Macaca mulatta: one gene and its partners. The protein of the gene in region 5 interacts with the protein of the main gene of each other region in a pairwise test. Links are inferred from orthologs where the notes say so. Each region holds a gene or a part of one and is shown on either strand. Other genes may lie near its edges. The genes, in order: BEND7, STAT1, STX11, SDCBP2, EIF1AD and GLYR1.

Region 1 (4,481 bases), on a different chromosome or scaffold from region 5:
GTGGGGAAGCACAGAGGAGCAGGGATGGGAGGATATATTCGAACTGGATGGGTTTGAGGGTACTGGTGGGCTGGCTGGTTTTTCTTCAACTTAATCAAGAAAATCTTTCTACCTCTTTTCTCCATTCCCATGTCTTATCTTTCCCTTGCCATAGCCTCTTTCGCACTGTTTACATTTAATGCCTTTTCCTTAGTAAACCTATCATATTCTGTTTCTCTCATAGGTAAGCAAGTATCTTCCATTGTCCTTAGAATAAAATGGGACATTTGGACACTGCTCTTACAGTGGGTTCCCTCCAGCACCTGTTCACCTGACCACCATAAAATGGAGCAGTTTAGAGACTTCCAGAGCTTACATTTTCTCACAGGCCAGCAAGGTAAGTTCCATGGTTTTGTTCCAATTATATGTTTTATTATACTTTATATACCTTAAATCCTGTAATAGGCATTATTTGGGAATACTATAGAAAAATTCGCCAGAGCAAAACCATGAAATACTTCAAGATAACTTAGTGACTGTAGTGGTACAATTATTTACATTCAAAATTGTAGCAAGATTGTAATGTTACAACTTTAAAATTGTAAATAATCCCAATTAAATACCAAAGTAGTCACAGTTATATGTAATGTATTTCTTTCTTTTTTTTTTTTTGAGACAGGGTCTCAGTCTGTTGCACAGGCTGGAGTGCAGTGGCATGATCCTGGCTCACTGCAACCTCCCCCTCCCAGGCTCAAGCGATTCTCACGCCTCAGCCTCCCAAGTAGCTGGGACTACAGGCATGCGCTGCCACGCCCGGCTTTGTATTTTTTAGTAGTGATGGGGTTTCGTCACGTTGGCCAGGCTGGTCTTGAACTCCTGGCCTCAAGCAATCCACTCATCTCAGCCTCCCAAAATGTTAGGACTATAGGCGTAAGCCACCACGCCTAGCCATATTTCTACAGAAAACATAAAATCAATATCTATTTTCAAACTGATATGGGGGAATTTATGTTTGCAACTTTTACTAACTTGATACTTTTCAAGGTAAATCCACTGTTGCTGCTGTATACTGGGAAACTGAACACTGTTTACCCAAAACTTACTGATGTGGGGTTTATTAACTTCACACATACCTAAGGGTATTTTATTTCTCTTATTGTCTCTTCCATGGTAGTAGAGTTAGGAAGGTCTTAAAGAATATTTCTAGTCACTATTCTAAGTACCATCTTCATCATTTTTAGAGGACAAAACCAACCCTTTTCAGCTTGTTATAAATCATTTTCTAATTTTAAAGAGAACTGACTTTTTATTTTTATGGAGGAGACTTTAAAGAGCTGTGTCCCTCTAACCTGGATGCATGCCAGCGTGGGAACTTTGATACTGGCTTATGTAATATTGAGAGAAAGAGAAGACACCCATACATCTCTGGGGTCCTTCGCTGTCTCATCAATGTCTCAGGATGGCTTTTCACGCCTCTGAACCGCAAATTGCGGTTTTAAAAAAAGTCAAAACAGTTCTCTTTTTCTTGAACGATATTGTGAAATGAAAACGAATGGAAAAAAATCCTTAACTTCTTTAGGAAACTGAAAATGCTTTCTTACCTTTTTCTTGTTCTCTTTGTGAAAACAGAGATCTGCACATCTCTACATAGTTTTAGAACAAATATTATAGCATCCAATGTGGCTGGATAGAAAACTAATATGACCACAAAAAGCATCAGGTTTTTTTCTTAAGCTTTGAAAAAAAAAATTGTCATTTGATTCTTTTCTTAACAATTAGGAAACTTAAATTGAGAAAATTTTACTTTAAAGGAATACTTTCCATTGCTAATGAAGCACGTTATAAAATATGGATCACGGGGTTCAGTACTGGTGTGGGATGCTGGATTATCACTGACCCTCCCCCGCCCTTGCCTTTATCTGGGACTCTTCTGATAATGAGAAAGGTGAAGGAGTAACCAAGAGGATATGTTAGTAACACACCATAGGACCAGGAAGCTTCTTTTAAAGACAATGGGGAGCTCTTTCTGCCCTAATGTTTGTTTTTTTTGTGACAGTAATATCTGTATATGGGCACAAAATGATCGCTTTTACTTCTTAAAGGGCTAAAATCTCTACCAGGAAATCTTCACTTATAATATAGAACCCCCTGTCTTTCCTAATTCTCAATTCTGTTTTTTAATAGTCTTCAACTCTTTCCTTTGTGTCTCCCTGTCTTTTAAAGTAACTCAGCAAAGGCAGGTAATTATGGGAGGGTTTAATAAATTGAACTCAACACACTGAATATTTAGAAATAAAACACAATGGTACAAACCCCCATGAGAGCCTTCTGAATGTTTGTTGACAACCATACCATTGGAGCTTGCAGCAGGGTGGGGCTGGCTTTGGAAGGTTCTAGAACGGGTGCCATACTGCCCTGAGAACTGTCCACTCTGGGGCGGTAGCTCATTCCACACACCACGTGAAGACAGGTGGAGGCTCTGTGGGGCCTCAGCAGAGGAGTTCAAACGCGGAGGCCAGACTAAATCCAGGTCCTGGGGCTCTTCTTTTAGTTTCTCTCCTTCTTTGCCAACTCGCTGATAGATCCGCCCAGTGCTGTCGTTCAGCAATCTTCTCATCCCTGTAATTTGCTTTTTTATTTCCATGCTTTCATCTCCTAATGGAAACAGGGCCAAAGTTAGCACTCTAAATTAGTGAAAAAGAAAAACAGTTCACTAACCAAAAACAAGAGAAAGAAAAAACAACCCTTCTTTGGAAATAAGATGACTGATTCGATACACTTAATCTGTAAAATGCAAAGGCAGGAAAACTGACTACGGTCTGAAAAAACCCACCATATTCCTGGTGCCTCTCATTTTAATCTCTGCAAGTCTCCTATGATAAAAGAGGTTTCTTGAGAGTGTGTCATCAGGAACAAACATCACATTCCCTCTTTGGAAGCATTTTCTGAGTGAGAAGGTGATGAGGAAACAGGCTGAGACAGAAGGTCAAGGATAGAACTGGACAGCGGAACCCCTCTACTCTGATGTGCCACAGCCACCCGTGAGGAACGGGCAGGTCACTAACGCGCTCTGCTGTCTTGTCAGCTTCAGCAGGCGGGGCGAGGACAAGGAAGCAAGCCTGGACTGGCAGGGATGCAGGGCTTCACTACTGACACAATGTCCTCCAGGATGACACGCTGCTGCCGCTGGAGACATCACCTTCAGAGAGGATGGCCGAGGAGAGAGAGAGGCGCTGAGTGTGGCAGCATGGCGAGCAAGGGGGCTTTGTCTTTCTGGCACCGATTCCCATCACATCAACCTGGTGATGACCGAGGGGTCCCTGCCACTCGAGGTCACTGGCAGTACCAGCACTGGAAGGGCGGAAGTGCAGCCTCCCCACCCCGCCCTCCCCCCAATGCCAAACGCACTGCCACCTCCCCTGCAGCGTAACTACGTGTGAGAGGTCACAGGCAACTGTGAAATCCCACCTCACCTACACTGACTTCTTTTTTTAAAGATTTTTCTCCCAACTCAGGAATTTTTTTTAAATTAAAGAACTTCTATATTGCACTGGGAGTACTTAATAAATATTACTTAAAGATGTCTATAATATTGTACAGATAGAAAATATTTTCGGCCGGGCGCGGTGGCTCATGCCTGTAATCCCAGCACTTTGGGAGGCCGAGGCGGGTAGATCACCAGAGGTAGGGAGTTCGAGACCAGCCTAACCAACATGGAGAAACCCTGTCTCTACTAAAAATGGAAAATTAGCCGGGCATGGTGGTGCATGCCTGTAATCTCAGCTACTCAGGAGGCTGAGCCAGGAGAACCCAGCTCACCCTGCGGGGAGGAGGTTGTGGTGAGGTGAGATCGCGCCACTGCACTCCAGCCTGGGCAACAAGAGCAAAACTCCATCTCCAAAAAAAAAAAAAAAAAAGAAAGAAAATCTTTTCTATCAATAATAATATCAAAGGATAATGATATCTATTAGGAGCTATTTCAAACACATTATCTTCTTAAACTGTGCGTCAGCCAATATCTTCATGAAGATGAAGAGAAAAGGATTTTTTTTCCTCAAACCCAGAAGATAAAATAAAATCTTAGGCCACTGCTGGGCATGGTGGCTCACATGTGTGATTCCAGCACTTTGGGAGGCTGAGATGGGCAGATCACTTGAGCTCAGGAGTTTGTGACCAGCCTGGCCAATATGGAGAAACCCCGTCTCTACAAAAAGGACAAAAGTTAGCCCAGCGTGGTGGTGTGTGCCTGCGGTCCCAGCTACTTGGAGGCTGAGACAGAAGGATTGCTTGAGCCCTGGAGGCAGAGGTTGCAGTGAGCCGAGATCATGCCACTGCACTTCAGCCTGGGTGACAGAGGCAGACCCTGTCTCAAAAAAAAAAAACAAAAACAAAACAAACAAAACAAAAAAAAATTCTTAGGCCAGGGTATGTGCGTGTAAACATTCATGCAGTTACTCTAATAAATGCTTGAAATTTAAACTGTAAGAAAAAGAAAAGGCTAA
Region 2 (4,481 bases), on a different chromosome or scaffold from region 5:
ATAAAACCATCAGATCTTATGAGACTTACTCACTACCATGAGAACAGTATTGGGGGAACCACCCCCATGATTCCATTATCTCCACCTGCTCCTGCCCTTGACACATGGGGATTACTACAATTCAAGGTGAGATTTGGGTGGGGACATGGCCAAACCATATCACATGGAAATCAACAAGTGGTTATATGCAACACAAAATGCCACCTAGGATACCACGCTCTGCGCTCTATGGAAAAACAAAGGGAACGAGGCCTGTGCCAGCAGTAGAAGCTTTGTTATTTGAGGAGTAAAACTAACATGCACTGAGTACAGCCTAGATCAAAAACTTCTTCACACCACTGAAGCTTATGTAAGGAGAGATGGGTGGGGGCAGGGCTTCTAGGTGATCTGTGACCAGCGCAGGGCAAAGAGGAGGCCAGAGGCAGGGAAAACAGCAAAGCAGATGCTTCCAGGTGATGCAAGAGGCAGCGAGGAGCCACTGCAGGTTCTGTGAAGAGAGTGGCATCAGCAAGCAGTGTCTCGGCAGGACCAGTCAGAGATGTGGAGCTGAGGGGCAGGAGGAGACACAGAGAGGGGAGGCAAGGCCGGGGACAGGAAGAGAGGAAGGAACGATGATTCTGGCTTTACTCAACTGAAAGGAGAAGGCAATATGCTCAGTCTAGACCCTAAAAATAGAAAGCTAGTGAGTAAACCTAGTGATTGCTCTTCGTCTTCCTTCCTTACAGTCAACTGCTAACGGTAACACAGGCTGGGGAAACGCAATTTTATTCGCTTGCAGTAATGACAGAAGAAAACCTTTTAAAAGTGTCTTCTTCCCTGGGAAAAGTATCTACTTCACTTTATGATTTTACTCGATTCCAGTTCAAAGCCCTGGGACAGTAGCCCTTCATCAGGAAAGGAGCAGGCAGGGTCATGGCTGGCTAAGTTCCAGAGGAGATGCTAAACCAGTGTCCCCAACTCTGCTTGCACACTGAGAAAATGACAATCCTTAGACAGCACAGTGGGAAAACTAGAGGGCATGTGTGTCCCTACAAGAGGCGCCTGTGGTCTAAGAGGACCACTAGGGGGCTCTAGACACCCCAAGGCCTCCCTGACCACCTGAAGGGCTTAGGGGTGTCAGTATCCCTCAAGGCACATGGGGCGCACTGGGCTCAGAAGCTCTGCTCTAACCCACAAGAAACCTGGGGTACCTACAGGCAATTCACAGAATAAAAATAAATGGCTGAATATTAATTGTGATTTTTAAAAAATTGGCAATATAGAAAATAACCTCATGAGATCTCTGGTCCTTGGACCCTTAGCAATTGTCCCAGGCCACCTTCCCTCATGTTCACTCTCTGATCCCAAGTTCAGCTCCTGTTGCCCCTCACCTGGACCACACTAATATGCTAACAGTATTCCAACTGGTCTTTCTGTCTCTATCCTATCCTCCAGGATGTGGCCAGAGCACCCTTTCTAAATCAAAGATCAGAGAAATACATCTCCTGCTTAAGAAAAAAGCCTGCCTTGGCTCAGCAGGACAGCAGCATACGGCCCACACTCTGAGCATGGTGCTCAGAACCTGCACCATCAGGCTCCAGCATCTCCCGCCGGGTCCACTTTCCTTCCCGTCTCCCCTGACACCTCACTCTCCCGCCACCCAATACAGTCCCTTCAGTCTCCCACGTGTGTGCCTTTGCACATCATGTGCTCTGTGCTGAAAAGTACTTCCCCTTGATCTATATGGAGTAACCCTAGTCACTTTTGAGTCAGCACAAGGCCACTTCCTCTATGAAACCTTCCCTGGAGATGCTTTCCTTTGTCCTCCACAGAACTCTGATGGCCTTTTGCTAGAGCACCTGGAAACTTTCACTGTACGGAATTATTACCATGTCTACATCCCCCTTCCACACTGAGAACTCCTTGTTGGCAAGGGCGAAGAATCATTCATCCTTGTGTGCCCAGGTCCTACAGTGCCTGGCACACAGTAGGCATTTAATAAGTATTACTGGATGGATGACTGAATGAATGGTTCCTAACAAACTATTCTGTAAGCCTAGAAAAATGCCTCGAGCTATCTTGTTTTAAATGAAACATTAGGAGTCAAGTTGTTAAATGTGTTCTATAATGACCATGTCACTGATGTTCTGTACAGTCAAACGACACATCCCATGGTACAGGAGTGATCCAAACCAAGTAGACGTGGCTGAACGTGGCAAGAGTCATGAATAACACTGTGCTTTCCAAGGGAGTGTTTCCAGGGTAAGCAGAAGCTGGATTACGTCAAACTCTATACCAACGTTTTAACAGGGTCCATTCAACTAACACAGCTCAAAGGTGCATTTATGAGTTTATGTGGTTAGCCAGTCAGCTGCCAGTTTTCCGCTTTGGAGAATCTTACCAGTTCTGCAGCTGATCCAGGCAAGCATTGGGCGGCCCCCCAATACAGGCGCTCTGCTGTCTCCGCTTCCACTCCACTAGTTCATCATTAATCAGGGCATTCTGGGTAAGTTCAGTGACATTCAACAACTCGATTATTTTGTGAACTACTTCCTAAAGGCAGTGGAAGAAACAAAGTGAAATAAACTCATTTTTAATCGCTGAATTTTAAAATATTTTTTAAAAGAAAAGCAAATATCATTTCATTCTCAACTGGGGCTCTAAGCCAGGAGGTTATAAAAATAATTTTTCTTCTCTTCTAAATTTTGATTCCATTATTTACAGTCTATAACAAAAGCGGCATGCTGTTCTGGAAAGTAAATAACTACCTTTCTTTTATTGTCAAGCATTAAATACATCTTCTTGAGTAACAGCTGTTCTTGTTTCTGATCACTCTTTGCCACACCATTGGTCTCGTGTTCTATAAATTGAGAGACAGCCAGTAAATATATTTATATAAAGAAGACAAAACCAACAAAAGCCAAGATTCATATAAATATAGGATAAAGATGACACAAATGCTGCCCAGTGACAGGTCAAAGTTTGGCTTTCTTCAATCTTTATTAAACATGAAAAAAGTCCTAAGTATAACAACTAGGCAAACTGAAACAAAATACTTGTTTTCAGTGGCCCATGTAAATCAGACATAGTAGTATCTGCCACTGAAGACACTGTCAGGTAATTACCTAAATAAATGTAAATAACAGAATTCAAAACTTCAGGTAAAAAATGTATACAAAGCGTATCTGTAGCTTTCAAAGAGAAGCAGATGATTAGGAAGCGGTAGCTGAAGTTGCTGTCTCTCATACTTTTTACCTAAATCATACTGATAATCTCTGCCTATGAACCATGCTATACCCCAGATGATGAATACAGCAACAGCAGTGCCTTACATGTTCCACACAATGCACATTCTTGAGTTCTTTTCTGTTGCTACTCTCATTAAAAACATCAACAGTAACAAAATAGAGTAAAACTGCTTTAAAACATGAGAAAAATAATGAGCTCATCTGCAGTGTACACATGTGGACACGCCATGTTTGAAGAAACTTGAGATATCAGGGCAGGGGAACTCCACATATCTATCACTCTGTGTCAGTCTGTGTCAGTGGGCTAGGTGCAATAAATAAGCTGAGTAACACATAACCAGTAGTTATCAAGTAGGGGTCACTGACCCCTAGGGGACTTTTGGTAATCTCTGGAGACAGTTTTGATTGTCACTAGTGAGGGCTCCTGGGTAGTGCTACTGGCACCTGGTGGGTATAAGTCAGGGATGTTGCTAAACATTCTACAATGCCAGGACAGCCCCCACAACCAATTAGCTACCCCAAAATGTCAACAGTATTGGATGTTAAGAAATCCTGGCCTGGGTTATCAAGGAAGAATTCAGAGTCATAAAATACTCGGCAAATAGAAAGGAGTAATCATCTTCGTTATCTAGTGTAAACAGAAAAAATCACAGCCAATGGGCACCACTTCAGTTGTGAACCCTTACCTCTGTTCTGCAAGGTTTTGCATTTGAAGTCATATTCATCTTGTAAATCTTCCAGGCTCTTGATTTCATGCTCTATACACTACAAATAAAGATGTAAACATGTTTTCTACTGATCAGCAACTTCCAAATACTTTAGGCAACAGAGTATTGCTTCTATGAAACCCAGAGAAACATGAAAACAATTCCAGCTCCCTCAAAAAGAGATCTGATTTGGAGAGTTCTAATCATACACATGAAATAATTTCTATTTCATTAATAAGTATGTAATAACACTTTTAAAAAAGCCAACATACAATAATTCTCAAACTGATTTGTATGTCCTTAACCTGGTTCCAGCACCTAAATTTTGATTCTTCCTCATCATTTTGAGACTACCTCTGAGATTATTTAAAAACTCCATTGTGAAGCCCACAGCAGTGGGGGGAAAAGCTCATAGAAAATTTCCTCATTCCTTCCAAATAAGTGACCATACATCTCAGCTTTACTGGGACAGACCTGGTTTCATACTTGCTATAATTATAAACAGTGCCCTCTTGGCAGCTCAAATGCATCTCCACCTGGACAATAA
Region 3 (5,168 bases), on a different chromosome or scaffold from region 5:
TCAAGCAATCCTCTGGCTTCAGCCTCTCAAAGTGTTGGGATTACAGGCGACAGCCACAACGTCTGGACTGTACTTTCCTTACTTTTGATAACCTGACAACTTTGAGGAATATTGGTCCAGTATTTTGTAAGATGTCCCGCTGTTGGAAGTTGTTTGATATTTTTCTCATTATGATACTGAGGTTATGGTTTTTGGGGAGGGAGACCACACAGGTAATATGCCATATTCATCACATCATGTTGACTACACGCCATCAATATGAGTCATGATTGTTGACGTTGACTTAGAACATCTGGTTGGGGTAGTGTCTGTTGGCTTTCTCCATTGTAAAGCTACTCTTTTCCCCTTTCCACATTGTACTATTTTGGAGGAAGTCACTGTGCACAGCCTAGGGTAGATGATCTACATAAATTATTTGGAATTATTCTGTATAGGAGATTTGTCTCCTCTCTGCCATTTATTCATTTATTTATTTATTTATATCAGTGTAGACTCATGGATATTTTTTACTTTGGTTTGTAATCCAGTACTACTTTGTTCAGTTTACTTCGTTGCTCAGTGGTTCCATCTTTGGCAACTGGGAGCTCTTTCAGGTGGTTCCTGTGTTTAAACATTCTCCCATCAAGACAGGATTCGTTTATTTTTATTTTTTATTTTTTTTCTTCTCATTCAATTGAGGCAGCGTCTCATTCTGTCGCCCAGGCTGGAGTGCAGTGGCGCGATCTCGGCTCACTGCATCCTTGGCCTCCCGGCCTCAAGTGATCCTCCCACCTTAGCCTCCCGCGTAGCTGGGCTCACAGCGCGTGCCACCACGCCCAGTTAATTTTTTTTTATTTTTTGTAGAGATAGGCTTTCACCATATTGCTCTGGCTGGTCTCAAATTTCTGGGCTCAAGAGATCCGCCCCCTTCGGCCTCCCAAAGTGTTAGGATTACGGGCATGAGCTACCGCGCCCGGCCCGATTTTTCCTTTCTTGAGTATCACTTCCTTACTTTTCAGCCTCAGCCTTGTTTTTCAAGGTGCTTTACCATCACCTGACACAATCCACACTTTATGTTTATCTCTCCCCGTTAAAGTGCCGGGACCTGGAGGGAGGGTCTTGGCAGTGTTTTTGAGCGCGGTGTTATCCTGGGAATACAAGGGGCCGCTCAGTTGATATCCAGGGAATGATGAGCCTGGCGGGTGTTGAGGCCGACTGGAGATGGGTTGGCCGGCCGGGTTCTGGGAAGGCTGTGCTCGGCCTCTGTGTGACCGCAGGCTCCTCGCCCGCCTCCTCGAGGGTCCCGCGGATGCAGGACCTGCTGCAGCCTCCGCAGCCACACCCACGCTCAGAGACCGCTTCCAGCGTCCTTGCCGCAGAAACGCACCGGACTGCAAATGTCACCGGCGCAGCGGGGATTCCCGGGGAAAGTCCATCGCACTCCCTGACCTGGGGACCAGAGGATGAGCGGAGGAAGTGTCTTGGGCGGCTAACATCCCACTCCCTGCGCCGGTCTGCGCCGCCCCCGGGAACGCCCCGGGGCTCGCGGGAGGGGCTGGAGCGAGTCCCCGGCTCCGGGCGGTCCCGAGCGCACGGACTCCGGGTGGGGCGGGAACCCGTGCTCTGTGAGCCGGCTGCTGCCGCGCCCCGGCGCTGTCATCCCGGGGCGGGGCCTGGTCCCCAGCTGTGGTAGCTTCCTAAGCGGCGGGGGCTGAGCCGGCGGCGCCCAGATGCGGCCGCGGCGGCGCGGAGCTCGGGCGGCTGTGGAGGAGCCCAGCCTCGGCCGCAGGAGGCGCCGGGAGCAGAGCCGCCGGGAGTCGCGCAACAGGTTTCCTTCCCCATCGCGGCGCCCACAGGGGACGCGCGCCCTGCGGGGAGAGAGGCTTCTCAGTTCGCGCTCTCGTTCCGGGTCCAGGTTTGTTTTTCTCTCCCTGAGCCCCCATTTCTCTTTCTGACCCCCCATTTCTCTTCCTGACCCCCCATTTCTCTTCCTGACTATTCCCCGTGCGCTGAGAGATCCGGGAGGCGGGCGGGGGCACTGTCTGGGCTCGGGACCCGCGGCTGCGCCTTAGTTGGGATTTTGGATCTGGCGCAGGTCCTCACGCCGCCTCTGGGCACCTTCGGAAACACAGGATTGGGTTCCTCATATAAAGCGGAATGATTTTTTAAAATTACTTTTAATTTCAGAGGCTGAGGGATTTAGGATTTAGTGCTTCACAGGAATTATTTTAGGGATACCTGTCGGTAGGCTGCCTTTTTAAAGTGTCCACCTAAGACTATTTTATTTTAAATCGAAAGACTGAAGTGTTTTTGTGTTATCACCTCTTCACTTCCTATTAGGGTGACTGTGTCAAAAACACCAGAATGGGTACTTCTTGACTTGAACTTGGCAGTGTCACTCAGTAGCCAAGAAAGACGGAGAAATTGATAGAGCCTTGGAGCAGTCCCTTCGCAGCCCACGTAAGACTTTGTTTTAGAAAAATGGAGAGAAGTAGTGGCAATGCCTGCGAGAACCACGCCGTCCTGAGAGGGAATTCTGCCTTTTTCTAGACTCCGCTGACACCAGCTGAGATCTGTATTACTTCCTGTGGTTCTCACGCGCTTGTTTCAGCCGTTTCTCAGCAAAGGGAGGAGCTGTTATTTACAGGTATCCAAAAATGAGTCACAGGGCTGCTCTCTTAATTGTGAGACTTTGTTAATGAACTTTTGAAAAGCGAGGCTTGCTCTGTCTGTATTTAAAATGAGACTGTAGATGTGAAATGCCTGCCCTGCTGACCTGGGGCAGTGGTATGGGAAGTGACGATTGAGTTTTCAGTTTCCTAAGGCGCCTGATGTTACAACATGCCAGTAAAGGTCACTGGGTTGATTTAAGATAACCACTAAAATCATGTGCTTTGCCTCAGAAGCCCAGGAGAAAATTAATTTCATTATTCAATGACCATTTTGCTACCATTTTCACTGAATAGTAGAAATGTATCATTTAATGTGGTGATTGTAACTCTCTAAAATCAAAATATTTCAGACAGTGTGTGTTTACTAAATTGATGCCAAAACCACATGGTGCTTTTTGAAGCGGGTGGGTCCCAGCGGGAGCAGAGAAATTTAAAAGTTGAAGCTGACAGGCCCCACTGTGGTGGGTAGCAGCACCTAGGAAGGGACTGCACACTATCTCAACACGGTAGAGAAGGGAGCACCATCTCTACTGGAGCTGAGTTGAGCTGAATTCAGTCCCAAACAACAGTTAACAGGTACTTTCTCTGTGCCAGCCTCTTCCCTGAACCTTGCTTGTACAACCATGAATAATAGGATCCTGCTGACAAGGTGCTAGGGTAAATCTATACCCAGAGTGAAGTTTCTGTCCCAATATAACTCAATCTGCTGGGTTCCAGTGTATTTAAAGAGTAAACTCAGCAGATTACCATCCCTAGATCATTGCAGTCACCTTTAGTTAGCAGCGTGACTTTTAGGAAATGGTATGACTAATTAATAGGTTGTTTTGTTTTGTTTTTTGAGACAGAGTCTTACTCTCTTGCCCCACACGGGAGTGTAGTGGTGCAATCTTGGCTCACTGCAACCTCCTCCTCCTGCGTTCAAGCAATTCTCGTGTTTCAGCCTTCCAAGTAGCTGGGACTACAGGCACCCACAACACCCAGCTGACTTTTGTATTTGTAGTAGGGACAAGTTTGGCCCTGTTGACCAGGCTGGTCTCGAACTACTGACCTCAGGTGATCTGCTTGCCTTGGCCTCCCAAAGTGCTGGTATTGCAGATGTGAGCCACCATGCCCTGCCTAATACTTTATAAATTTGTAACACTATATTGAAGCAAGTTTTTGATCATTGTTTTTGTAGTTCAAATCAATGTTTTTTAGCACATTATAGCCTTGTGAGCCAAAATGAATAAATCTACCATATCACAGTTTACTGTTACAATTGAAATCTGCTGAGACACTTTTGAACTTGATGCCCAAGTATCAAGGTTTCCAAGTTTCCACAGTTTGCTAAGATATCCAACTAATAAAGGCAACACTGCTAAATTTCAGACAACTTTACCTTAATTTCCAAACTTTATTCCTCCTTTGAAAGCCCTGAAGTTACTTTTTCTATGACAAAGGGTTGAGTGTGTCATTCAGCATTGTACTCCCTGAACTTGTCCCAGGCTCGACTCATGAGAAGTGTTGGAAAGTGTCATTCAGCATTGTACTCCCTGAACTTGTCCCAGGCTCGACTCATGAGAAGTGTTGGAAAGTGTTTATTGATGAAATAATGAACCTTCATGTAGGAGGATGAATTGGCAGGCAAGTGGAAGGCTCAGTGACCCAGCAGAAGGAACAGCACCCATAGAGAAGTGAAACAGCACTGGACATTCAGGAAACTCCAGCCTGTTTAGTGACAGCACAGAGCGAGGGCTGGGGAGACAGGAAGGGCCAGATCACAAAGGCCCCATGAGGGTTTATAGTACTGAGCCCTTTGAACAAGTGAATGATATTGTCAGGTGTGTGTTTAAAAAATTATAACAAAAATTGGAATTTAAAAAATCTTAGATTAGATGACAGTGGCATTGACTTTAGGGAGACACCTTGGAAACTGTTGTCATATTGCAGATGGGACATTAAAGAAGGCCTGAATCGAGCAGTGACAGTGCAGACGGGAAAAGAGGAAAGGGGCTGGTAGAGGTTTAATAGGTGGAACCCAGTCGGGTGTATATTTAGAAGTGGGCAATGAGGAGGTGGGAGAAGTTAAGATGACTCCCACATTTCTAATGAATGACTAGGATAAGAATATCCTACTCAGTGGAAGAGTAGATTTGGGCTAAAGGGTGGTGAGAAGCTCACACAGTACTTGGCACATAATCAGTGCTCATTAAGATTTTTCAAATGAATGTCAGTAATAGCTAAAATTTGTTGAGTACTTATTATGGGCCACACACTATCCTAGGCTCACTATGCGCATTAAGCCTTTTACTCCTCAGTACCATCCTGTGAGATAGGCACTCAAATTAACTGCTTTGACTGGTGAAGAAAGTGCAGTGTTAGTAACTGACAGAGCCAGAAATGCATCCCAAGCACTTGGTTCCATAGCTTGCATTCTGAAGCACTCTGCTGTGATGTGCTGTCTTGATGAATGAATCAATGAGGATTTGGACTTTGTGGTAAGCTCAGGTTGAAGTCACTTTCCTGCCCCTAATAATT
Region 4 (4,481 bases), on a different chromosome or scaffold from region 5:
TATGTGCCTGGCACTGTGCTCAGAGCTCTAGGTACACTGTCTTTTTCTTTTTTGGAGACAGGGTCTGTCTCTGTTGCCCAGGCTGGAATGCAGTGGCATGATCATAGTTCACTGCAGCCTTGACCTCCCAGGCTCAAGTAGTCCTCCCACCTCAGCCTCCTGAGTAGCTGGGACTACAGGCGTGCACCACCACGCTTGGCTAATTTTTTAGCTTTTTTGTGGAAAGAGGGTTTCACATTGCCTAGGCTGGTCTCAAACTCCTGGACTTAAGTGATCCTCCTGCTTTGGCCTCCCAAAGCACCGGGATTACAGACGTGAGTCACTGCACCCAGCCCTATGAACACCATCTTACCTTCGGAAGAGGACGCTGAGGCTCAGGTGGGGTAAGCAAGCTGCCCATAGACCTGAGCCCTCCCACCACCCAGCAGTCCCTCCCCGGTGCAACCACCGGCCTACCTTCAGCCCGATGACATTCTGCCCATCCACCTCACACACATAGTGGTTGGTGAGGAGCCCGTTGCGGGCCGCAGAACTCCCTTTGACCAGAGAGACAATCTTCCCCTTCTTGATCACGAAGCCGACATGGCCCATGCTGTCCTTGTGCATGGTGACAGTCCGCTGGAACGGCCTGGCGGAAGAGACAGTGAGCTGACCTGAGGACATGGCCGGGGTCAGACGGAGAGGCTGCCCAGGCCTGGCTACTCACCTGTCCCGAACCACCATGACAATCTTCTCGGGTGATGCCTTCTTCACCACCTGATTGGCTTTGCGCGAGCTCCACCCAGCACAGTCACGCCCATCAATCTGCAGGATCTGGTCCCCAAAGCGCAGCCCCACAAGGGATGCGGGGGTGTTGGCCTGGACCAACTGCACAAAGAGCCCCTGGGGGAGGCAGGGTCCCAGAGTCAGCGTCCCTGGCCCACCCTAGGCACAGATCCCTCTTCCAAGCTGTTGTTTTCCTGATACTCCAGGAGCCTACAGAGTGCCAGGGGCACAGCTCTGCATGGCGGGCACCAAGATTACCCCATTTACTTGGGAGGAAACACTCTAGGCCTCATAGTTACGAAGGAGGTGGGTCAGAATTTCAATCCTGGCCTGAAGCTGCACCCCCCAAACACTCTACTGGACCATTCACAAAGGCATGGGTTTCCCTGGTATCTGCTGTCTACACCGTCTCCTGGAAGCTAGATGCCCTGGGCAGTGAATGGCTGGTGGGGAAGGGAGTCTCCTCCAGTGGAGGGCACTGCGCAACCCAGCACCAGCCTCGCCCAAGTCCCGGGGAGGAGGGACTGGGGGCAAGAGCCTGGCCAGTGGGGTTAGGAGGCGCTCTGCACCTTCCTTACTGCGGACCGGACCTCTGAGCTCTGAGGCCCGGCGGGAAAGGGCGTGCAGCTCGAGCTCCTCTTCCCACCCAGCCCCCGCGCCATACCTGGTCGACTGTCCGCAGCCTCAGCCCGGTCTTGCCGCGCTCGTCCTTGCACAGGTGGATCTCGCGCACCCCGGGCTTGATCTCTGCTCGCCGCACGCCCAGGCTGTACCCGGACACCGGTGCTACCATCTGGCCAGGCGCGGGGCCCGAGACCGCTGTCTGCAGACACCAGGGAGCAGGGGGTCAGCCCGGCCCGTGGGGACCCTGTGCCTCAGGAGACACTGGGGTGGGGGTAAGGATGGGGAAAGGAGGATGGAGCCGTCCCCGGGTCCCACCACATCCCCAGTCCACATTTCTCCCCTAGGGCCGAGAGGAGACGTGGCTCCACGCGGCCACTAGGGGGCGTCAAAGTCCATGCCCCTAAAAAGGCAGGGCAATGGGGAGAGAAGGGGCAAGGATACGGGAAGAGGCCCTTCATTTTCCAAGGGAAATTGGCATCAGGAAAAGACTCCTTTAAACCCCACTTAAAATAGAAAAAGTCACAGTAAACAGTGAGCAACAGGGGATAAAAGGACTGGATTTTTGTCTTGAAAAAAATGTAAAAATATAAAAATTAATGACGCAGAAAAAGGCAAAGAACTTCACTCTCCCAACACTATTAAAGACGGTACTGGAAGATCTAGCCAGCACCGCAGGCAAGAAAAGAGGGGGAGTCACACAGATCAGAAGAGAGGAAATAAAACGGTCCCTATTTTTTTTTTTTTTTTTTTTTTTTTTTGAGACGGAGTCTCGCTCTGTAGCCCAGGCTGGAGTGCAGTGGCCGGATCTCAGCTCACTGCAAGCTCCGCCTCCCGGGTTCACGCCATTCTCCGGCCTCAGCCTCCTGAGTAGCTGGGACTATAGGCGCCCGCCACCTCGCCCGGCTAGTTTTTTGTATTTTTAGTAGAGACGGGGTTTCACCGTGTTAGCCAGGATGGTCTCGATCTCCTGACCTCGTGATCCACCCGTCTCGGCCTCCCAAAGTGCTGGGATTACAGGCTTGAGCCACCGCGCCCGGCCAAAACGGTCCCTATTTATAGGTGTCATGATGGTCTACTAGAAAATCCCAAAGAATCTACAAATAAACTCCTAGATCAAATAAAAGAGTTTAGCAAGGTCCTGGGATACAAAATTAACGTATAAGATTCGATTGTACTTCTGTATACTAACAACGAACACGTGTAAACTGAAATTTTAAATACAACACCAGGCTGGACGTGGTGCCTCATGCCTATAGTCCCAGCACTTTGGGAGGTCGAGGCAGGTGGATCACTTGAGCTCAGGAGTTCAAGACCAGCCTGGGCAACTGATGAAACCTCCTCTCTACTAAAAATACAAAAATCAGCTGGGCTGGTGGCAAACACCTGTAGTCCCTGCTACTCAGGTAGCTGAGGCAGGAGAATTACATGAACCGAGGAGGTGGAGGTTGCAGTGATCCAAGACTGAACCACTGCTCAGTGCAGCCTAGGTGACAGAGCAATACTCCATCTCAAAAAAAAAAAAAAAAAAAAAAAAAAAAAGAAAAAGAAAAACAAAAGAAAAGAAAAGGAAAGGAAAAGAAAAGGAATACAATACAATACCACTTACAATCACTCAAAAAAAAAAAAAAAAAAGAAAAAAAAAAAAAGGCCGAGCTCAGTGGCTCACTCCTATAATCCCAGCATTTTGGGAGACCAAGACCAGAGGATCACTTGAGACCAGGAGTTCAAGACCAGCCTGGGCAACAAAGTAAGACCCCCATCTCTGTTAAAAACAAAAACTCAACAAAACTTAAAAAAAAAAAAAAAAAAGAAATACGTGTAACTCTAACAAAACACATACAGAAAATGTATGCTAAAAACGACAAAATACTGATAAAAGATATCAAAGAAGACCTAAATAAATGTAAGATTCTCTGTATTCGTGGGTTGAAAGAATTAGTGAAGCTGTCAATTGTCGCCAAATTGATACACAGATATGACACCATTTCTATCAAAATCTCTACAAGATGTTTTGCAGATCCAGGCAAGGTTAATCTAAACTTTATATGAAAAGACAAAGGAATTTAGAATAGCTGAAACAATGCTGACAAAAAGAATAGCGAGAGGAATCACTACCAAAGTTCAAGACTTATTATACAGCTACAGTAATCAAGACAGTGTGGTATTGGTGAAGGGACAGACAAGTACCAGTGGAACAAAGTAGATAATCCAGAAATAGCCTCAAATGAGTAAAGTCAACTGCTTTTTGCAAGAGTGCTTTCAACAAATAGTGTTGGCTAGGGCGCAACTGTAATCTTAGCAATTTGGGAGGCCAGTGCGGGGAGATCAGCTGAAGTCAGGAGTTCAAGACCAGCCTTTGGCAACAGGGTGAAACCTCATCTCTACAAAAAATACAAAAATTAGCCAGGTGTGCTGGAAAGTGCCTGTGGTTCCAGATACTCAGGAGGCTGAGATGGGAGGATCGCTTGAGCTCGGGAGGCAGAGGTTGCAGTGAGCCAAGATCATGTCACTGCACTCCAGCCTTGGTGACAGAGTGAGACCCCATCTCAAAACAAACAAACAAACAAACAAAACAACAAAAAAAGCAAATGGTGCAACCATGGCAAAAATATGAACTTTGACTGAAACCTAACTCCTTACAAAAAAATTAACTCAAATTCAATCATAAATTTAAATGCAAAACATAAAACTATAACAATTTTAGAAGAACATGAAGGAGAAAATCTTTCGGACTTAGGGCTTGGTAAATATTTCTTTGCAAAGTACAAACCACAAAAGAAAAAAAAATCAATAAACTGGACCTCATCAAAATTCAGAACTTTTAAGCTACAGACTGAGAGAAAATACAAACCACTTCTCTGACGAAGGACTTTAGAATATATAAAGAACTCCCAAAACACTACAAACAAGCCCCAGCTTGGCCAACATAGCAAGACCTTGTCTCCACAAAAAATAAAAGTAACAATAATAAAAGAAATTAGCTAGGCATGGTAGTGTGCACCTGTGGTCCCAGCTACTCGGGAGGCTGAGGTGGGTGGATCACCTGAACCTGGGAGGTAGAGGCTGCAGTGACCTGTGATTGCACCACTGCA
Region 5 (5,264 bases):
TGCAAGGAGGCCCAGCGCAGGGCCTGGCACTTTCTAAGTGCCCAGTAAGAAAGAACAAACAACCGGGGAAAGACTCCAGCCATTTCCCATTTCCTTCCCATTCAGCCCACCCAGTCACAAGGTCTCTTTACCAGGGAGCAGTTCTTCACCTCACCACAAGCCTCCGTCCCCCGAGAGAGCCACTCAGACACCAGAACAAGTCACCAACCCACCAGGGGTTTAATTCTCCTAATCAAAACATCAGTTCAGAGAGGGGCCCTGCTTTGTCCCCATCCAGGGATGAAGATCTGCAAAGCACCCTGGGAATGTCCAAGCCCAGAAGAGCCAGGGGCCCATCCCTGAGCAAGTGGAAAAGTGGGTCCTGGAGTCTCAGGTGGCCTCCTCCTCTTCGCTCTCCTCCTCACTCTCATGATACTGTCTGCGGTTTGTGTTAACAAACAGGTCAGAATCATCTTCTGAGCTGGACTCCTCTCCTGATAACTGTGGCTCAGCTGGGAGTTCTGGTTGAGTTTGTCTGCACGAAGGGAAAAGAGCAGAGTTAGCCCAGCACCTTCTGAGAAAACCAGATCTACAATCAAGGAGTTCCAAAAAAAGGAGGACCATCCGGCCCAGCAGTCAGGGCCCTACAGCACCCTTTAAAGACTAAAACAAGGGACAGAGGCAGAGCAAACAGTGGGGAAACTTGGCTAGAGAAACAGGCTAAAGACTGACCCCAGTCCCCAAACATGTGCCACAGCCATTTGTTTCAGTCAGGAATAATGATTCTACGACCACCAACTAATGCTTAATGAACCCGCATCACACACCAGATGCTGCACTAAGCAATTTTACAAGCCATCCACTTCTTTAATCCTCACAATGCTCCCATTTTATATATAAGGAAAATAGAGTTGGAAGGAATTAAATGACGTGCTTAAAGTCATTCAGCTTTAAGTGGCAAAGCCAGGATTTTAACCCAGAGAATCTGACCTTCAAGCCACATTCATAACTATGTACCACATACGTAGGAGCTCTCAACAGATACCCTATGTAAGGAGGAAAAAAGGCTCTATTTTTCCCTCAAGGCACCAAAGCATGAACCCCTTATTTTCCATGTGTCCCACCGCAAGGCTTGTTTCTCACCTGTTCCTGTTGTTGTGTTTCTCAGCCACTTCAGAGAAGGCCTCAGGCCTATGCCAAGAGATGAGCAAAGTCAGGGAGGACAAATCACTTTCTCACAAAAGAGCTGTTTCCAGCTGTCTCTGCCTGGGATGCCATGACCTTCCCTCCCCTAATTCCCAAGCTAGGAAGGCAATGCCTTCAGAAGCCAGAGAGTCAGTGATCAAGGGGACCACCTACCAAAAGCCCTCCTTCTGCAGGGAGCGCACGTGGTCCTTGCAGAGCACAAACGAGATCTCAGCCTTCACCTTTTCTCCCTCTTCAATGGGGTCAACAATGAGAAAGTCTCCTGTAGGTAAGAAGAGAAAAGGCAAAGTCAGGCCTGCCTGCAATAAGGAAAGCCAAAGCCATAGGAAGTGGTTCTATCTCCTAGAGAGGGCTGCCTCTCTCACCTCCCTGTCTCTCTTTTTTTCTTTTTTTTTTGAGACAGGGTCTTGCTCTGTTGCCCAGGCTGGAATGCAATAGCATGATCATAGCTGACTGCAGCCTCCACCTCCCAGGCTCAAGTGATTCTCAGGCCTCAGCCTCCCGAATAGCTGGGATCACAGGCACGTGCCCAACTAATTTTTTACTTTTTGTAGAGACAAGATCTCATTATGCTGCCCAGGATAGTCTCAAGCGATCCTCCCACCTCAGCCCCTCAAAGTGCTGGGATTACAGGAGTGATCCTCTCACCTCTCTTGATCCAGATGTTCTTGCGGTATTTAGAGGGCATGCTCACCAGGAAGCGCTGCCCTTGGGCTGTCTCCACCTCATGCAGATTGTTCCCTGGGGTCCTGAGTACCTGGTTCAGGAGAGACCAAGAATCAGTCTCATCGGTCAAACACTCTCTCAGCCACGCGCACCCTGCCACCACCCCAGGGGCCCTCCAGGGCTGGAGGGGTGGGGAGCAGAGCAGCTTGTGCCCAAAGCCACTCACCCTGACAATCTGCTGCTGGTCGGAGGGCACGATGTGCTCCCCCAGCACCTCCTTCACCACATGCTTCCTCTTGGTGGCCTGAGACATGCTGAAGTTGTCCCAGGGTGGTTAGGAACGAAGAGACTGTCAACTCCTCCTCCTGAGTTCCTTGGATGGCAGGCTCAGAACCCAGGACTGTTCTGAAGATGGGGAGGGGCCTTTTACTGAGGGGTGACACGGTGTCTTGGTTAAGAACATGGGCTCTGAAGTCTAACTGCCTGGATTCAAATCCTACCCTCATTTATTTCCTAACTATTCAACTTCTCTAGGTCCCAGAAAAATAACAGCTAACTCAGCACTGTTACAGAATGGGACAACAGTGCATGTCATGTAAAAGTAACTCCGGCAGGGAGCTGTGGCTCACGCCTGTAATCCCAGCACTTTGGGAGGCCGAGGCGGGCGAATCACGAGGTCAAGAGATCCAGACCATCCTAACACGGTGAAACCTCGTCTCCACTAAAAATACAAAAACTTAGCCGGGCGTGGTGGCGGGCGCCAGCTACTTGGGAGGCTGAGGCAGGAGAATGGCGTGAACCCGGGAGGCGGAGCTTAGAGTGAGCCGAGATCGTGCCACTGCACTCCAGCCTGGGCAACAGAGAGAGACTCGGTCTCAAAAAAAAAAAAAAAAAAAAAAAGTAACTTCTACAATCTTAGGTACTGGTGTAATGTAAAACTATAGGAAAGTTCCAGATAAATCATCCTGGCAACCTCTCTGGAAGGAGTTTGAAATAAACCGTATCTTTCTCAACACGCTTGTACACCCCAAGTCTGGCACAGTCACACAACAGAGAAGTTCAGTCTGGCAACACACTACAGCCGGAGACAAATTAGGTGGCCACCGTGATGGTCCAAGCCAGGAACTAGTTAATTAAAGGTTGAGGTGAGCAGGCTTGTCTGCGACATCTGCATTTTTCTGACTTGCGTACTTAGAAGACGAGGACCAGCACCCTTAAGACTGATGGTTTCCGAAGGAAACACTGTCATCTCTAGTTGCCGTTCTCCTTCCTCCTCCCTGTCTATCCCGGAGAAAAGACCCTCAGAGAAACACCCACACTCAGTCTCTGGCCCTGGGCTCCCAGGAACGCTGCCGGAGCAACCCCGCTGTCCAGGCTGGACGCTGAGAGAGGATCGTCCACGACTCACTTCAAGGCTGAGCCAAGAAAACACAGTAAAGGAACTTGCCGGCGGCCGCGACGGTAGCGTCACCTCGAAATCAGGTCTCCAGCGTTCCCAGTTCCCACCAGTCCCACTGCGAGGAGTGCGACGTGAGTCTGAGTCGGATCCCTCCGAAAACCGTCTTCCGGCGCTGTCTCAGAGGCCTCCCGGCCACCCGTCCCCTCCCTTGTCCGTCTTCTAACTCTTCCCTACGCCAGGTCGGTCAAGCCTAAGTCCTTGAGTTCCGGGTCCGGGCAGCACAGAAAGGAAGTTCTCTCCCTGTAGGCCTCTCTCCCTCAGAACTGCTCGAGGAGCGAGACCTCAGAAGACAGGGCTTCCCGCGAAGAACCGGAAAGGAGCGCCTACTAAGGACGCCGTCGAGGTCCGTGGCGCCTCAACTCTATAGCTCTAACTGGCTAGAAGGGCCCAACGTGGAAGGTTTTTTTTTTTTTTAAAAGGCGGCTGAGGCGACCCGGAAGCGGAAATGGAAGAAAGTTCTAGTGGCTTGACGTATCCGCGGGAGCAGCAGGGTGGCGGGAGGAACCGTTACGGGAACTGAAGCTGCCGGTGAGCGCGAGCCGCGGAGCAGGGCCCTGGCTGGAGGCCAGAGGGATTGCGGGGAGAAGGGGAGGAGAGGGGCCGCAGGCGCTGTGGCGGGCCCTGGGGGAGAGTTTGGCCGCGCTGCGGGGAGGGGGCGGGGTGCGGCGCGTGGAAGCCGGGCCGCGGGAGGGGGCGGGCCGCGGCTGCGCGCGATGGGGGCGGAGCTGGGGTGCGGCGTGTGCCCCGTGGACGCGTAGCGGGTGTGCGCAGCGCTCGGTGTGCGCTTCGCCCTGTAGGTAGAGACTCTGGTTAGCTTTCCACGCCAAGTGGCTGTTCCAGGCAGTCAGTACCTTCTTGGCTCAGCCAAGGTCACAGAGGGAGTGACAGCTTCCGGGCAGCCCTGGCTACTGACTCTGGGAATCTTCCCACTGCCCCGCTTGCGCCACCTGTTAGGCAAGATTGTTTTTCTTCTGGGGCAAGATCAAAATCCAGGTCCTGCAGGAAGAAACTCCTTTTCAGAATAGTAGGGAAGAGTCTCCCTGGATCTCGGTTTTCTCCTTTCAGGATGAGGGGGATAGAGCAAGCCACCGGAATCCCTGGCTTGGCTGCCTCTTACTGTGAGATTGCTAGTGGGCTCTTAGGAGTTCCAGGTCTTCAGCCCTAATCTGCCTTTCTTTTGGGATTCCTAGATTAAGCCTGATCAAGATGACAACCTCCCAAAAGCACCGAGACTTCGTGGCAGAGCCCATGGGGGAGAAGCCAGTGGGGAGCCTGGCTGGGATTGGTGAAGTCCTGGGCAAGAAGCTGGAGGAGAGGGGCTTTGACAAGGTGTGGGGTGGCCGCCTGTACCTGGTGCAGGCGGGGGTGGGAGGGAAGTGAGTCCATCTGCTAGGGGGTGGACAGTGGGGTATAATCTGAAGAGGCTGCCAGAGCCTGGGCACCTGGTGGAGAGGAGATGGGGGCAAAACCCACGCTGCTTCTTGGGCTTGTGTACTCTGAATGGCACAGGAATGGCCGCCTTGCTCTTATCCCTCACTGAACACTGAGCAGCACACCCCTTCCTTTTTCCCTGTTTTGCAGGCCTATGTTGTCCTTGGCCAGTTTCTGGTGCTAAAGAAAGATGAAGACCTCTTCCGGGAATGGCTGAAGGACACGTGTGGCGCCAACGCCAAGCAGTCCCGGGACTGCTTCGGATGCCTTCGAGAGTGGTGTGACGCCTTCTTGTGATGCTCTCTGGGAAGCTCTCAATCCCCAGCCCTCATCCAGAGTTTGCAGCCGAGTAGGGACTCCTCCCCTGCCCTCTACGAAGGAAAAGATTGCTATTGTCGTACTCACCTCCGATGTACTCCAGGGTCTTTTGGGAGTTTTCTCCCCTAACCATTTCAACTTTTTTGGATTCTCGCTCTTGCATGCCTCCCCCGCCCTTTTTCCCTTGCCAGTTCCCTGGTGACAG
Region 6 (5,281 bases), on a different chromosome or scaffold from region 5:
TAAACTCCATCTCAAAAAAAAAGGTCAAACCATCTAGCTTGACCCAGGTAAGCAACTTGACATAGTGATGAGAAAGCTAAACAAATCACTAGTAACTCAAGTTAATACACGTTCTTCCTCTCACTGCAACATGCTATATGGTCAAAGAGTCTCAGATTAATGGTCCTGGTTTCCCCAACTTAGGACAGATCCGGCAAAAAGACCTACTATAATAATGTCAGAACAAATCACTTAGTTTTACAAATGAGAACAGGATTGAACAATTACTTTCATTAAGGTAAATACAATTTTAGTTTTCATTGTATACCTCATGCATGAACCACAATGATATATAGCATTAAAAGAGAACTGAACATGGCTTTTATAAAAATAACTGCCAGCTGGGGGTGGTGGTTCATGCCTATAATCCAGCACTTTGGGAGGCCAAGGCAGGTGGATTGCTTGAGTCCAGGAGTTCCACATCATCCTGGGCAACACGGTAAAACCCCCTCTACAAAAAATCAGCTGGGCATGGTGGTGCACACTTGTGGTCCCAGCTATTCGGGAGGCTGAGGTGAGAGGACTGCTTGAGTTGGGGAGGCAGAGGTTGTGCTGAGCTGAGACTGTGCCTCTGCACTCCAGGTTGGGTGACAGAGTAAGTCCCTGTCTCAAAAACAAACAAAAAGGAACTGCCTTTGGAGTTGGGTAAAGAAACATGTGAGAAACTACTTCGATGTGATTATTACATTTAGAAGGTAAATGAACCTAGCTCTTGCCTGACTTAGTTATAGGCCTAGGACAGTTGTCTAGGGCAATTTCTGCAAGAAATTGCACCTTTATTTAGGTATGAAGCCAGAATGAGATGCCAGTATTATACATTATAAGAAGACTGAACTAAGGATCCTTAGAATATTTTCAAAGCAGCTCAGACTCCAGGTAACACAGAAAGAAAGGTAAAGGGAGACTCCTGGTGAATACTACTCACTGATCTTCTGTTCCAAAAAATTTCACAAAGAAGCATTTCTTTCCACGAGGTTTCTTCAAGTCCTTTGGTGGATTAACAATCTGGAGGATAAAAGGGGGAAAAAGGTTGGCTGGCAACGCGCAGCCCACTGTCTAGTGGCTCCACATTGCTCTACACAGCTCTATGTTGGGAAGAAAAAAGTAAATTAAAATGACTTACAAATAAATATATTTATATACAAAACAGAACCCAAGGCCTAGTACTTGTCTAAATCTCCCATTTTTCTAGAGATTTGTGGAAATGTGTAGATATTCTACAAGTTCCCAATATTTAACATGTAGCACAGTGCTCAGCAGACACAATATCCCTTTCACTGTAGAGGCCCTGTTTTACAAGCAGTTAAAACTAAGATCAACAACATCTCCTGCCCCCCACCAACCTGCCCCGCCCCAATGTGACCCCATCATTACTGAAAAAAAGCAGAGGACCCTCTTTGAAATACTTCCTGTGCAGGAAGAGTTGAGACAGGACATAGTGAAAACAAAGGACAACTGAGGCACAGAAAACACCATATTGCAAAGAGACCATCTAAAGACACTTCCTGGGCTCCAAGCAAGAATATAAAAACACATTTGGAAAGCAATGATGGATCACCTCATGCAAAATCTGGAATGCCAACTTCTGCAAAGAGGCACTGGAGTAGCACATATGGTAACATGGAAAGAAGATTTAAACTTAGTTGGGACAAAAATACTTTGGCTTTTCACTAACCTACATTTAGATTTCTCTTCCTGGATAATTTATATTTTCTTCTCCTTTTGTTACATTTAAGCATAAAGCTAAATTCAGATTAGAATTATTTCCGGGGTTAAAAAAGAAACTTCATAAACCTTCTCTAAATCAAGAAATAAGCGTTTAGAGCAGATTTAATGATCTGGAATATACTGCATTGCCTTTAAAAAAAATAACTGATACTAGGAGAAAAAAAATTCTAAGTGCCATCTGAATGGGCCCAGTTTAACTCAATACTAGAAACTGAGAGGAATGCATCTTACATTCTCCACCTCCTCAAACCCAACTTCAGATATCTTCCTTTAGTAGCAACACACTCACCTTTCCTGGCCAAGGAGGATACCGGCCGAGTTTCCCCCTAGAGAAAAAACACAGAGTTAACACTCGACCTGGAAAAGTCAGCCTATCTCCTTCAACCCACTCAGTACGCAATTTATTTTCCTAAATCTCTGCTGGCATCCTCAAGTGGCGGAACAAAAGCTTCCACAGCTGGGCCCAAGACCCTCAGAAGCAAAATGCAAAATTGTATACTTATGTGCACAACGTGTAACCATTCTTCTGTTGACAAGGAATACAAAACAACACAACTGTCAAAAGTCACTTGTCTGGAGCTTCTTAATGACGGGGGTGGGAGGACAACTTCCTCTGTAAACACAGACTTTCCCTCCCTAAGTCTGGTTTAATTCAACAGGAGACCTGCCTGGCTTTGACAAATGCTAATGGAAGCCTTCCTCTGGGTGGAGAAACAAGCTATGCAGCTCGAGGGAGGCGGCGACAATCAGCCTTGGTTCGGGCGGTTGTCTGGGACAGAGAAGCAGTGCACCCAAGCCTGCACTGGTCACTGCCAAGCCATTGGTTGTAAAGAACTACCCCGCCGTTTCTTCGCGGGGCAACGCCAGAAGTCCGGTTTAGACAATCCCGGCTGAGCCGCCCGCACAGGTCGGCTGCATCGCAACCTGGGCTTTAACCGAATGGCACCGGCGAGATGGACTCGCAGGTTCGGTCCCCGGCGCTTCTGCTTTCTGGGAAGCCCCAGCAAGACCCCGGGAACAAGTCGTCCAAGGAAGCCTCGCGGCACTGGCGGGTCCTTTCTCAGGGGCCGCCAGTATCTGGGCCCCGAGTGCAGAACCCTCCCGGGCGGCCTCGGGGATCAAAGCCGCTGCCCGCCGTGGCCACCCTCGGCCTCGGTCCCCCGGGACTGGACTGCCCCTTCCGCCCGGCGCCGCTCGGAAGCGCCGGCACCTTCTCTTCCCCTCTCTCCGCGACCTGGAGCGCACAGAAAGACAGCTCCGGGGCCGGCAGCGAACCCCGCACCCTGGCGGGCAGCTCCCCGGCGCGTCTCGGTTGGCCCGGCCGCCCGGACTCACCACACCAAGTCGCCGAGCCGCAGACTCACAGCCGCCATCTTACCACCCAACCACCGCCGACGCACGGGCCGCCGGGAACAAGCAGGTCGCCTCGGCGCCGCCCATTGGAGTGGGTTCGACCACGTGATGGGGGCCGGCTGTCATCGGCCACGCCGCTGCTCCGACGTCACCGCGCCTGTCGGGGATCATTGGCTGGCCGAGCGGCACGTGACGCGAGCGCCGCGGTCTCCGCGCGCCGGAGCGCAGAGACTCCCGGCTCTTTCCCCCTCCCTCCGGCTCGTGACAACGAAGCGTCCGCGGTCTGAGGCGGCGGCGGCGGCGGCGACGGTGCGACCGGCTGAGCGCGAGAGGGAGCCGGCCTCGCGGCCTGCCCCGCCCCCGGGCCTTGGACTCCGCGCTCCTCCCCTCTCGGCGCTTCCGTTGCGGCCGTTGGTCCTGCGCGGGCCCCGGGGCCATTCCCGAGCCCGAGGCGCTGGTCGGCCCCGTCGCTGCGCCCGTGAGCTCCCGTGACGGAGCTCAGCGCGGCCTGGAACTCAGCTTCCGCCGGGTCTGGGCTCCGGCGCCCGGCTACTCCTCTTGGCCGCAGACCGGGAGGCCCTGGTGTCCGCGCCCGTCTGCTCCTGCCGCCCGTGTTCTTTGGAGCGCTCCTCCCGACGGCCGCTTTCGGAGGCGCCGTCTGAGCGCGTGGTCCCGCGCCGCAAGTTCTCCCGGGGCGCCCGGAGGCTGCTCCCCCGACCCCTTGGTGTCCTCAGAGTGGCTGTACGGACGTCGAGTTGGCATTTCTTCGCTTCCTCCTGGGCCGGCGCGCGGCGCGGCACACCAGGCTCCCCTGGGCGCGGGGACCCGGTCATGGGCCGAGGCGCGGGCCGCCCGCCCGCAGGGAGCCACGGCTCGGGAGCCGACCGCTAGCTGCGCCGCCGCCCGGGGACCGGCATGAGGACCGCCGCGGGGGGACGTCTGCGGCCCGCGTCGGCTCTGGGGACAAAGGTGCGTGTCTTTGTCGGGTCCGGGCTCTCCCGTTAGCCTTGCCGTAGTTTGGCACTTCTGAAAAAGTTGTGACAACAGGAAGACAGATGCCGGGCGTAGTTTGGACACTTGAAAACTGAACCATGAAGTGGGAAGTGTTAGCTGCGGTTGAGCGCAGCGCCGGCCCAAACTTCAGCAGACCAGGTAGAAACACAGTTTTGCAAAAGATCCCAGACCTGATCACAGACTCCACAGTGTCAAGGAATGACTTAGACTTGGTGTCGGGCTCTTGTTGAGTTCCAGCCTGCTGGAAAAGGTGGCGGGTCCCCACGCGTTTCCCCAAGGCATTTTGGTGGTTAGAGGTTTCGGTTGCAAGTCGGTGTTTAGCGTACTGGGTCGTCCCGCAGCCTGATTTTTTTTGGGAGATCAGTTTCCCTGAAGTACCAAGAATTAACTTCATGAACTGTCATTTTACTGTGTATGTATTTTTAAGACAAAATGATTTTGAAAGCGTATTTGAGATACTAGGGAATAATTTGATAAAAATAACATGTTCCTGTTTAAAAATTCTTACTTTGTGAGGAATTGAAGGATGTTTTAATAACTTAATTAAAAATATGAATCTTGGCTGGGCATGGTGGCATAAGCCTGTAATACCAGCGTTTTGGGAGGACGAGGCGGGCGGACCACCTGAGATCAGCAGTTCAGAGACCAGCCTGGCCAACACGGTCAATCCCGTCTCTACTAAAAATACAAAATTAGCCGGGCGTGGTGGTACATGTCTGTAGTCCCAGCTACTCGGAAGGCTGAGACAGGAGAATCGCTTAAGCCGGGAAGCGGAGGTCGCAGTGAGCTCAGATTATGTCACTGCACTCCAGCCTGGCGACAGAGCGAGACTTTTCCCCCACGAAAAAAAAAAATCTTTAATCAACATTGCACCAAAACCTAGAGGCATTCCCGTTAACGTCAGAAACGTGGTACATTTCTGCCACTATTAGATAATATGAATGTATTGCCTAATATCCTGAAAGTTCTAGCCAGTGCAATAAGACAGGAAACAAAAATAAGAAATGCAATTTTTGGAAAAGGGAAGACAGAATTCTTATTTCCATGGATGATAGGTCTGCCTCTTTTGGGGGAAAAAAAAAAGCCATTAAAATAAGAATTCAGGAAGGGTACTCATTATAAGTTGGAATACACAATTTAGTTTTTC

What was found.
Region 1: the proteins of EIF1AD (region 5) and BEND7 interact in binary tests that used the Homo sapiens proteins (3 or more experiments, as listed by UniProt). The two-hybrid records come from large-scale screens. The link is inferred for Macaca mulatta from reciprocal best matches to the Homo sapiens genes EIF1AD and BEND7.
Region 2: the proteins of EIF1AD (region 5) and STAT1 interact in binary tests that used the Homo sapiens proteins (3 or more experiments, as listed by UniProt). The two-hybrid records come from large-scale screens. The link is inferred for Macaca mulatta from reciprocal best matches to the Homo sapiens genes EIF1AD and STAT1.
Region 3: the proteins of EIF1AD (region 5) and STX11 interact in binary tests that used the Homo sapiens proteins (3 or more experiments, as listed by UniProt). The two-hybrid records come from large-scale screens. The link is inferred for Macaca mulatta from reciprocal best matches to the Homo sapiens genes EIF1AD and STX11.
Region 4: the proteins of EIF1AD (region 5) and SDCBP2 interact in a two-hybrid assay, tested with the Homo sapiens proteins (3 studies listed by BioGRID and IntAct). The two-hybrid records come from large-scale screens. The link is inferred for Macaca mulatta from reciprocal best matches to the Homo sapiens genes EIF1AD and SDCBP2.
Region 6: the proteins of EIF1AD (region 5) and GLYR1 interact in binary tests that used the Homo sapiens proteins (3 or more experiments, as listed by UniProt). The two-hybrid records come from large-scale screens. The link is inferred for Macaca mulatta from reciprocal best matches to the Homo sapiens genes EIF1AD and GLYR1.

What each region holds. Positions count from the first base shown.
Region 1 is NC_133414.1:15,041,651-15,046,131, forward strand, and holds part of BEND7 (BEN domain-containing protein 7), read right to left. Parts: intron 2,635-4,481; coding exon 2,293-2,634; intron 1-2,292.
Region 2 is NC_133417.1:96,038,493-96,042,973, forward strand, and holds part of STAT1 (signal transducer and activator of transcription 1-alpha/beta), read right to left. Parts: intron 3,993-4,481; coding exon 3,914-3,992; intron 2,840-3,913; coding exon 2,748-2,839; intron 2,533-2,747; coding exon 2,381-2,532; intron 1-2,380. UniProt on the Homo sapiens protein: Signal transducer and transcription activator that mediates cellular responses to interferons (IFNs), cytokine KITLG/SCF and other cytokines and other growth factors.
Region 3 is NC_133409.1:49,410,571-49,415,738, forward strand, and holds the start of STX11 (syntaxin-11), read left to right. Parts: upstream 1-1,799; 5' UTR 1,800-1,894; intron 1,895-2,319; exon of another isoform or gene 2,320-2,626; intron 2,627-5,168. UniProt on the Homo sapiens protein: SNARE that acts to regulate protein transport between late endosomes and the trans-Golgi network.
Region 4 is NC_133415.1:82,838,568-82,843,048, reverse strand, and holds part of SDCBP2 (syntenin-2), read right to left. Parts: intron 1,589-4,481; coding exon 1,430-1,588; intron 883-1,429; coding exon 707-882; intron 629-706; coding exon 457-628; intron 1-456.
Region 5 is NC_133419.1:8,415,310-8,420,573, reverse strand, and holds EIF1AD (probable RNA-binding protein EIF1AD), read right to left. Parts: upstream 3,416-5,264; 5' UTR 3,169-3,415; exon of another isoform or gene 2,252-3,168; 5' UTR 2,165-2,251; coding exon 2,078-2,164; intron 1,943-2,077; coding exon 1,834-1,942; intron 1,448-1,833; coding exon 1,339-1,447; intron 1,171-1,338; coding exon 1,123-1,170; intron 515-1,122; coding exon 370-514; 3' UTR 196-369; downstream 1-195. Other genes in the region: BANF1 (barrier-to-autointegration factor), read left to right, coding at 3,756-3,781, 4,501-4,639, 4,892-5,038.
Region 6 is NC_133425.1:6,108,504-6,113,784, forward strand, and holds the start of GLYR1 (cytokine-like nuclear factor N-PAC), read right to left. Parts: upstream 3,141-5,281; coding exon 3,103-3,140; coding exon of another isoform or gene 2,707-3,102; exon of another isoform or gene 2,094-2,706; coding exon 2,057-2,093; intron 1,074-2,056; exon of another isoform or gene 1,045-1,073; coding exon 965-1,044; intron 1-964. Other genes in the region: uncharacterized protein LOC144337857, read left to right, coding at 2,707-3,612. UniProt on the Homo sapiens protein: Cytokine-like nuclear factor with chromatin gene reader activity involved in chromatin modification and regulation of gene expression. Acts as a nucleosome-destabilizing factor that is recruited to genes during transcriptional activation.